Coturnix japonica: one gene and its partners. The protein of the gene in region 2 purifies or fractionates together with the protein of the main gene of each other region. This does not show direct contact. Links are inferred from orthologs where the notes say so. Each region holds a gene or a part of one and is shown on either strand. Other genes may lie near its edges. The genes, in order: PRKAR1A, AKAP11 and GSK3B.

The links.
Region 1: the proteins of AKAP11 (region 2) and PRKAR1A purify together in Homo sapiens (affinity purification with mass spectrometry; 3 studies listed by BioGRID and IntAct, counting the BioPlex papers as one, with this or other methods). This does not show direct contact. The link is inferred for Coturnix japonica from reciprocal best matches to the Homo sapiens genes AKAP11 and PRKAR1A.
Region 3: the proteins of AKAP11 (region 2) and GSK3B purify together in Homo sapiens (affinity purification with mass spectrometry; 4 studies listed by BioGRID and IntAct, with this or other methods). This does not show direct contact. The link is inferred for Coturnix japonica from reciprocal best matches to the Homo sapiens genes AKAP11 and GSK3B.

The regions. Positions count from the first base shown.
Region 1 is NC_029533.1:6,395,055-6,398,708, forward strand, and holds part of PRKAR1A (cAMP-dependent protein kinase type I-alpha regulatory subunit), read right to left. Parts: intron 3,305-3,654; coding exon 3,213-3,304; intron 2,876-3,212; coding exon 2,814-2,875; intron 2,312-2,813; coding exon 2,265-2,311; intron 1,617-2,264; coding exon 1,458-1,616; intron 1,348-1,457; coding exon 1,287-1,347; intron 1,002-1,286; coding exon 880-1,001; intron 298-879; coding exon 216-297; intron 1-215. UniProt on the Homo sapiens protein: Regulatory subunit of the cAMP-dependent protein kinases involved in cAMP signaling in cells.
Region 2 is NC_029516.1:148,946,532-148,949,428, forward strand, and holds part of AKAP11 (A-kinase anchor protein 11), read left to right. Parts: exon of another isoform or gene 1-101; intron 102-113; coding exon 114-260; 3' UTR 261-2,897. UniProt on the Homo sapiens protein: Binds to type II regulatory subunits of protein kinase A and anchors/targets them.
Region 3 is NC_029516.1:71,756,530-71,760,183, forward strand, and holds part of GSK3B (glycogen synthase kinase-3 beta), read left to right. Parts: intron 1-882; coding exon 883-1,069; intron 1,070-3,654. UniProt on the Homo sapiens protein: Constitutively active protein kinase that acts as a negative regulator in the hormonal control of glucose homeostasis, Wnt signaling and regulation of transcription factors and microtubules, by phosphorylating and inactivating glycogen synthase (GYS1 or GYS2), EIF2B, CTNNB1/beta-catenin, APC, AXIN1, DPYSL2/CRMP2, JUN, NFATC1/NFATC, MAPT/TAU and MACF1.

The DNA of each region.
Region 1 (3,654 bases), on a different chromosome or scaffold from region 2:
TCCTGTTATACGCTGTTATATTATAATCCAAGAATGCCCTGTGAGCAAACATGTCCAATCCTTACCTGTGACCAAATAAATCAGTGTGCACTAGGAACTTAGATTTCTTTTTCCTGCTAGCACACATAGGCTTTTTCAAGCCAAAGCAACTTCATCACCACAGGTTAGACGCTGACAGTAGTATATGACACCACTGTTGTCACTACAGAACTTACCAAAATAATCAGAAGGTGCCAGTCTACCCACTTCAACAAATTCTTCATTTTCTGATCGACGCTGTAACACTGCAGCTGTGCCCTTTAATTAACCACAGCAATTAAACAATTAGAATTTCTGCTATCACTTAAATTACCAAATTCCAGAATCAGTTGCTTTGCAGAAATAACTTATGTCAGTCTTTAAAAACTGCTTCACAGTTCATGCATAGTTCACCAGACTGCTCTATAAGAACAACTCACCTTCCTTCTTCTTTAAGTTTAAAACATCCTGGCTGTATACTTTCCATACAGCATCGATCTCTTCCCATTTTTCTTACACCAATATTACAGTACAGTTTGCAAAAAGAGATAACAATACCACTATAGCAGGATATTACTATGTGTATCTATATATTACTATTTAGTAATGTGTGTTTTTACTCTCCTGAACAGAATGAACTGGTTTAAGTCAGAAACATTATTTTTTCCTGGAATTACCATTTATAAAAATAGCAAAACTAAATATAAGCTGCTGCGTGTCCAGCAAGATAACATCTCATGAGGAATTCTCTAAAAGTACATTCCAACATTTCATTTTTCTCTCAGCATCTATTTAAGGGCAGAATAAACAACACTGAAAACATAGACAAACTTATGAGGCTTTGATTTTAGTCCTACTTACCTCCAAGATAATGAAGAACTCATCCCCTGGCTCTCCCTGGACCACAATCTTTTGCCCGTCCTCAAACTGTACCGGTTCTAATGCATCAGCTACAGTAAGGCGCTCCCACTTGTCCAGAGATTCTATGAAGTTAAGAGTTCATTAATAGGTTGTCTTTTTGAGGTACAAACCACACTCTTTCCTCTATCCTTATAGGCAGAACAACATATTTACAGCTGCAGTTGGGCACTGCATATCAAGACTTTAATTACAATTATTTCTGAATGATGCAGAAAAGCAACACAGACGTTGCAGTCCATTTAACACATTACCACAATAGCCTGACGTGTAATCATAATAGTGCTGAGTAACAGCTTAATTGCAATACAGCAATTTATTCCCCTTTGGAACAACATCTTTGTACTTACCCAATATAGACACCTTACTGAGGAATTCCTCATACATCTTTCTCTTTCTCAAAGTACTTCCCTATGGAAAAAGAAATAAAAAGCACACAATGAAACAACAACAAATAACTGCAGGTTAGCAGACAGCTACTTGCGTCACTGAAACCACACACCAGTTAGACAAATACTTGCCATCAAAATCCTTCTGTAGCTATCTCTGTCAATGCCCCACAACTTCACGTTTGTCTTCGCTTTGACAGTTGCTGCACGGGGAGTTCCATATATAAGGGCAAGCTCTCCAAAGCTTCCACCTTCACCAACACTGGTTGCCCACTCATTGTTCACATAAACCTGAAAGCCAAAGCCCACGGTGTTTGTAAGGCTGGTCAAAGATATGCGACGCTCCCACTACCCCGCATTTCCTTTATAACATAGGGAAATTCTTTCATCTACATAGTCAAAGTGATCATTTCAGGATTTCATTTACGCTTCACACCCAAGCCCAAACTCCATCACAAGTTTTATTTCCATTGACAGTGGGTCTGCTGATCACATCATGTGCACAGAGACTAGAAATGCAGACCCCACAGACCCTTGGATAGGAAAAAAACCTTAATAAGCCTCTATGAAACACAAAGGACTTGAATGGACTTCCAAGAAGCTGTCAAAAAAATTCCATAGAAAGCTATGGATTATTTGGATTAGAAAATAAAAAGGTCTGTCATTCTTAAACACTTTACCCAGACTCCAAACTTGTCAAGTATTAGTACTTAATTAACATCTGAATAATTCATTTTAAAGTTAAACACAATTCACAGCCTGTGCAGTCAAACTGAAGTATCAAAGAGCAAAATAGCTCCAAAGCAAAATTAGCTTCTACAAGTTCCAACTTCTTAAGAGAAAAGCTAATAAAGGATGTGTAAGTGAGGCCTGAGAACACCATGCTACTCTTCTGCTAGGGACTGAATGCATCATTAATAAGCTACCAATAATGCTTACATCCATTTCTCCTTGATCAACAACGTAGAAATTATCACCTTCATCCCCTAAAAACAGGAAAAAAAAATTAATATACACAAAAGGTACAGTGAGGCAAACAAACTTGTACAAAACCAACATCTCTGCCAGCTTTGATGTGCAGAATATAATGAGGTTGACAGAGACATTCTGCACAGCTGGGAGGGGGAATATCATTTTATTCCACACTTTTTAGTCATTTGAAAGATGACATCTACTGGCATTCAGTACATCAGCCACACTTCCAAGAACGATGGAAAGGCATACTGGATCCAAAAGTTGTCCTGAAGTATTTTGCAGAGTCATTAAATCACAATCTTTCCAACAAATAACATGTGAGGAAACACTATTATTCCCACAATTGCTTCTCTCCTTACTTCAGAGCATGAGCTGTGCTTCAGTTAATGTGACAAGAAAGGTTTGTCACACCCAGGCAGGGTTTTAACTTCCAAAGAAGCACAGTAACAAGAGCATTAGGTCAGGGCCTGCTCACCATCCCACACATTTATCAATGTCAGTAATGTCACTTGCCTTGCTGTATGACAGTCTCGCCTGCAATGTAAGTGACGGGAAACATTGCATCAAAGATGTCACTGAAAAAAGGATACCAAAATTAGACAACTGCAACACACACACAGCCACCTCATCTAGTGAAAGGTGTCCCTGCCCACAGCTGAAGGGTTAGAACCAGATGATCTTTAAAGGTCCCTTCCAATCCCAGCTATTCCGTGATACTGTGCATGCATTCGCACACCTCCAACCTCAACCAACCAACTTTTCCTGTAATCTCTTTACATTTACACTGACTGTTTGTAAACAGGCTGTGCAACTTTGTATTTTACTATACAAATGGAAAGTTAAATGCAACTTGTAACTTTTAACTTAGCATTATACTATACTTTTAAGACTTCGACAAAGATTTATTCCTACCTTCTCTCATTATCATCAAGATGGGCAAACAGCACATTCTTCTCAATAGCTTTTGCCAATGCAGCCATAGTTTTATAATCTTTTGGAATAACCTAGGATTAAAAAAAAAAAAAAATCAGAAAAAGTAACTGACTCAATTTCTAAAGAGAATCTTCTGAACTATCCAGGACTAACAAATGACTCACACTGCTACAAAACTCAAGTATTTTCGGGTTCTTTTAAGCACTGTAGTTCTAAGACACAAATACAGTCAACTTCTACAGCCAGTTTATTCAGAAGGTAAATAAAACATTGAATTTATGCAACTGTAAAAACCACAATTCCATGTTAAGTCCGTAGTGTCTTTTCACAATTGCAAGTATATGTTCAACTAATTTCTCAATGAATAGCAGCAAATCTGCTCCACCTCTGGGTTAAACTTAATACTGCTGCATCCGTTAGA
Region 2 (2,897 bases):
TTGTTACAACTGATCTTTTATGAGCTAATGTTTCAAGAATAACTTCTGTAACTGTTAATCAGGATGTGCTGGTCAAAATATTTTGTTTTGTGTTTCCCTTGTATCCCCTTTAGCTTTCCAGAAGACTGCGAGAAAGAGATTGGAAAGTGGGAGATCTCTTGCAAGCAGTATTGAAGTACTGTGAAATGATAGAGAAGGCATCCGATGGAGAGCAAACCCTTAATAAGTCTTTGGTTGAGTGGCTTCTGGATAACGTCTGAAATAGTCCAAAGATGCACCACTCTTCGCTTCATTCCTCTTTTAAAAGGAGATGGGAAGAACGTAGATATATAATGTAAAATTTGATTAATGAATGTTCAAGTAATTGTCAGCATTTAAAAGACTGAGGTGAAAGTCTAAGTATCTGTGCTGTGCTTTGTGATACTGTGCACATGGTATGTTTATTCAGTCCATAATCAACATTGCCCACCCATGCATAACTTGTATTTACTGCTGTGTTCAGACCGTTGAGATAGTTATGAAAAAGTACCTTGTCTGTGATAGTAGTTCAGAGGAGGCAGTCTCAGGCAGGATAGTGAGGATTCCCACTGCACCAGGATTGCTCTTTCCCATTTGTGCCTGTTCTGTATTCATGGTGCGACTATGAACACTTAGGTTCTGGAAAAACCTCTTCTCATGGTCTGCAGCAGGATTTTCCAGAATTATCAATCTTGGCCAGGTGTTAGGTGCACAAGGGCAGAAATATCAGGAGTGGATAAAAAGGACTTGCCCAGGCAGACCCTTAGTGAAGTCTGCCTTCATAGCTGCCTTTCTCAATTTGAATTTTCGGAGACGTGAGAGTCTGCTCTGAAATTAAAGTGCAAATACTTGTTCCCTTTTGTTGATTGTAGATCTGGTAAGTTCTGGAAGGACAGACTGGGCAGCTGAGCTTCTTAAAAACTTAAGCAAAGTTTCCTGAAGTTTGCCAGTCAAGTTTAAATTGCTAAATTTCTTACTGAAGTTCTTGTATCAAAATACTTGTGTAGTATTGATTTTATGTCTGAAGAATTTGTATGTTAGTCTTTGTTATGGTTAATCCCAGCAGCAGCTCAGCACCACTCAGCTACTTGTTCACTGCCCCTCACAGCATAGTGACAAAGAGAACTGGAAAGGTCGAAGTGTGAGAACTCATGGCTTGAGATAAAGACAAGTGCAGCAAAAGCTGCACTTGCAAGCAAAGCAAAATCAGGACTCCCTCATATGTAATGGGTGCTTGGGAAGACAACCACCATGACTCCAAATGCCACCCTCCCTGCCATTTTTTTTTGCTGTACACAACACCACATAGTGTAGAATATCTCTTTGGTTAATCTTTATCAACTGTCCTGGTTGTGTCCCTCGTCAGCATCTTGTGTCCCTCAGCTCCTCACTGACAGGTCATCTTGAGAAGCTGAAATCTGCAGTTCCATTAGCACTGCTCTGCAGCAACTAAAATATCAGTGTGTTATATCATTTCCATCACAAGTCTAAAACATACCACCATACAAACCTTTGTGAAGAAAAGTAATCCAAGCCAAAGCTGGGAGAGTTTCACATACAAAATAGCAGATGGAATCTTCTTTCTCCAAGAATTGTGGCCATCTTTTTGACCAGTCTAATTCTTTACTTCTTACCTTCCATACATGAGTTTTGTTTTTAGTAATAAAGAGAATTTTGTTACTTGCTGAGCACTTAAGTGTTAACAAGGAAAGCTAATTTAAATTTAAAGGAGAAATTTATTGCAAATTGATTTTTCATTTTTCTTAACTACCTTTGCTGAATATTTTTAAAGGCACTTTTAATCAAGTCTTTTTAGCGATCTAGTCATGTTTCTTACCAGTACTGCTGACTTGCCATTCTGTCTGAAGGAATATCTGGATCTTTACATATCCTATTCTTTTGGGGTTTGCTTTTTTGTTTTTATACATTCTTTTTTAGAAAAAGGCACTTGCTCGTAATTACAAGGCTGCCACCTTCAGCTTCATATCACTTGAAAGCAAATTGTGATGTTTCACTTAGTTTGGGCAAACAAAAGAATCTTAATGGCTTTGTTATGGAAAAGCACATTGTTGGTATGTTGTGCATTTCAGGGTATGATCCCAAATGGAAAAAAACTGATGTCTTTAAATCTGTTCACAAGTTATAGTGCAATATGTACATTTCTGATTCCTTGTGTCCTGAATTACTATAAAGTGTCACACTGGTAAGAGCACTTTTCTTGCAATGTCTTTGTGTGTCAGGAAGGCATTCCACTAGTCAGTGTAAGTCTTCTTACAGAGACCTGGTTTATTTTAGTTTTCATTTGTCATCTGGTTTTCTAAAGGGACCCTGTCTTGGATCTCAGAGTTTACCAGTCCAACTGAGTTAGGTTTATATATGCAAATGTGTGTTCACACATGTGCATGCACATAGAAGTACATATGTTGATGTATCTGTATTATGTATTAGTTCTCACCTATATGAATTTACAACATGAATCCTTATTGCTAACTTAAAATTGTGTTATTGTCATAGTTTATTACCTCGTGCGACTTACCATTTTGCTGATTGAAAGATCGCATGACAAAGACCAAAAAACCACTACAGGCTCTTTTGCTCCTTTATAGGTGATACAATGCAAAGTTACAGGAATCAGCTTTCTCTAGAGTGCAAAGAGGGGAGAAAAAAACTATTATTATTTCTATATGTGGAAGATGGGTCTGGTAATTAGTAAATGTAAAGGGATATACAAATTTTTCTTCCTATTTTTTTCTCCCTCTCCCCACATTTTCCTTTCTTCTTTTTCAGTCTGAGAAAGTTGACTTTCAGCTTCTTTTGAACCATTCTCTGGTGGTAACATCTTCCCTTTAACAAAACAGTAATGAACTTGCATAAATTTA
Region 3 (3,654 bases), about 77 Mb from region 2:
GTGAGAGGCCATCCAGGTCACCTACATGATAACCTTCTATTTTGTTTGTTATGTAAGAAGAGAGGAGGATGGGAGCATTTTTAAGTGTGTTTATAGCTGTTCTTAGAGCTTTAACACAAAGCTGCAGTGAGGAACTGCTGTGAGCTTTGTGTTGTCATCAGCCCGGGTAAAAGTCTTTTAGAATAGAATAGTTGGTTTTCTTGACACAGCTTTCAGCCTTAGAAATACCAGATGTGCAAGAGTTATCCCATTATAGGAATGACTTGCCAGAATAAGGTTAAGGAAGGAGAAACCTGCAAGTTAGAGCTAGACATTTCCTGCACCCCACCCTCGCTTCCCTTGTTGTTCTCCAAAGTTGAACAGCAGCCTCCATAGCAACAATCTGACCTACTGCCTGCAAAGGTCCATGTTAGTAAGACTTCATTCACTAGCAAAAAGTAAAAAGAAAAATGAAAAGAGAAAAAGAAAAAAAAAATAGTGGGGCCCTATTCAATTTTTGCATTCAGTGAATCCTGCTCATTTGAACCCTTTCTCCCCACCTTCACTCCACCCCATGTGCATGGCTGGTAGCACCTGTGTGTTTTTGTCATGACTTTTGAATGAGTCCCCCCTTCATTCTTGAAGTTGTTTCTCTGAGTGCGCTCCCATGAAGTCTCTTGCTGGCATTGCTCCTTCACTTGAGTGCAAAGCTTGGCAATTAACCCTTTCTCAACCCCAGGAACTGGATTTTCCCATCCTCGCTGGAGGACGTTGATTACTACAAACACAAGTTTGTTCCAGCGCGTTGGGCAACGAGAGGTTTAATTGCTCTGGCTTACTGCTGCTCAGCAAAGGGAAGGGACGTACCCAGACAACCTGTTTCTCCTTGCTTGCTTTTTGCAGGTCTTCCGGCCCCGCACTCCACCAGAAGCAATTGCGCTATGTAGCCGTCTGCTGGAGTATACCCCCACTGCCCGCCTGACTCCCCTGGAGGCCTGTGCGCACTCTTTCTTCGATGAACTACGGGACCCAAATGTCAAGTTACCAAACGGGCGAGAGAAACCTGCACTCTTCAATTTCACCACTCAAGGTAGCCTGCAGGCATTGAGGATCCCTGCTGGGATAAATGTTTGCTGTGATGCACACATCGCACTCTCAAAAGTTAAAAATCAAAAGGCTTACCTTTGCAGTTCAGTGTCTGCAGTCTAGATGATGTGTATGTGTGGAGTACCATGCTCAGTGACCATGGAGATTGGCTTTTCCTTTTGGAGATGTCCCTGTTCCTCCATTCCTGCAGTGCCATGTTGAGGAGCAGTGGATATTAAGGTTGGCAGGGAAGTTTGTAGTGTTGCTGCATATGTTGGTTTTGGATGTGAGATAAATGCAGGAGTGTCACTGTCCAGGTTTTATGTACTGTAGAGTTTATCTGGTATCATACTGACACAGTAAATCAGAAATTAGTGCATGTGATGTCCATCTGCTGAAATGTGCCCGAGCAATGAACTTGTTCTGAATGGCTGCCTTGCAGAACGTAAATCTACTACATGAAAACAAGGGTTTAAAAAAGGATTGGAAAGATCTGTACTAAGTACTTTTAAAAAATCCTTAGAGAAAAAATAAATACACATGTTGGGAGTTTGTCCCTGGTTTCCCCCAGGCAGTGTGGAAACTGCTGAGTAATTTAATCCTCAAGTAAACCCCTCCTTTGCCATCCTAGAGAGTTGATGTGCTCTCACAGTGACTCTTGGGGATGGCAGGAGAAATTGCTTCCAGGGAGAAAAAATGCTTAAGATTCAAAAAAGCAGTTTTCTGTCACTGACAGGTACCAGTGTTAGCGTCTAGAAAGAGAATGCAGGAGAGAGGTTGGCCATTAATACATTTCCAGATGAGCCGTGTTGCTTCTCACAAGCCAAAAAATATCCAAAAACCAACAAAAAAAAAACCCCACAGAATTTGAAGAATAAGCAAATAAAGTGCTTTTAAGACATTAGTTAATAAATGTGCAGTAATAGGTCCTGTCTAGCAGCATTACTACTTATGACCTGAGGATACGCAAAGAGCTTCTGCTGCTCCTGTGGCAATGTGTTGTCATCAGTGGCCCCATCAGAGTGACTAATCCAAAGCAGAAATCACATTTGGGAAACAGATCAGGACTTTAGAAATCAGATATGTTGATAACTCGTGTCACCTCTGGTAATTCTGAAAGCAGTGAAAGATATCCTTTTGTTTTGTATGACATTTGTTTTCAACAGACAGTATTAAATCTTAAAGGAAGTGTTTTATTTGGCTATGGCCAGTTGACCGAAACCCATGGAGTAGGAGGTGGAGAGGGCTTGAAAACAAAGCTGTTAGAAATAACAATATGGATCTGGTGGTTACTGTACTGAATTGATTTTCAGAAAGAACATAGGCATCATACCAAATCTGCTGACATAGGCAGTGGTCTAAGAGAAAGCATGGAGTGTATATGGCAGATAAAGATCGTGGTCTTTGGCTGCCAGCAGTGGTTCTGAGGAGTGTGCATGCCTACTGTAGAGATGAGAGCTGTTAAGAGAGCTTTATCTGATCATTCTTACTGTCTTGTCTCTATTTTTCTTAGTATAAGAACAAATAATATGTGCTAATTAGGACTTAAAAAAAAAAATGATCATGCCCAACAAAGCATCTGTAGTAGCCAGTGCTGCAGTTCAGTGACTCCTAGACCTGCAAGACAGAAAGCACTGAAAGCATTTTGTTTTTTCTCTTAGAAGATGAATTTTTCAAACATCCTGTAAAGTGATTGCCATTTACTAAACTTCTTAGAGCTTCTCAGTGATTCTGCTGGGTCACAAATGTTGCTATCTGTCCATATTAGTTGGCCATTGAAGACTGCTGTGATTCAGCACATAAAAGCGGCTGTCATTGCTCTTTGATGACAAGCGCTTTTATGCCTGGAGTTTTTCAATCAGAAAAAAAAATATGACTTGTGACCTTTAATTATAAAAAGGGTTTTTGTCTTTTCTTTAAAAATAAAACTAATTTTAAAGGAAGACTTGATTTCTGTCCAGGCTCAGTCTCAGCGTGTCCAGAAATCCTTTGTGTGACCTAGTGTCACCTAGAAATGATATTTCTGTTTAGGGTATGCTCAGTGATGAGGTACAGAAAGAGGAGTATGAAACCTGTGTTGATTCCAGCACTCTTCTGCTCTGAAGAGAAACTGCTCTATAAGCTTGTTACACAGAAAGTTTGTTACTGTGACCAAGTAAATGGTACAAAACTAATTCCTCCGAGGCATTCTTGGAGCGCTGAAATATTAAACAGCTCGGTGCTCTCAGTATCATCATTTCCCAGTGCAAGGCATTTTATTGTGTTTGGGGAATGAAGATAATCTGGTGTTCTGGTACAACTGGATATTTTTATTGTAGTTCCTTATTGGAGATGCAGAGTGGCTGTAGGTGTCAAGATTTGATCAGGAGAAAGAGAGCTGTTTCCCCAGCTAACGTGAACCAGAATTGTCTCCTATAAATTATTTGGTATCACTGCTCTGTTCACGTAATTATATTGAAATCTTTATCTGCATTGCCTTGATCACAATACCTTCTTGCAGCAGTACTGGTTGAAATTACCGCAACCCTGAACTGCAGGTTTGATTTAGATAAGCATGCTACAGTTCCACAGCTTGTCCATAGATTGTCA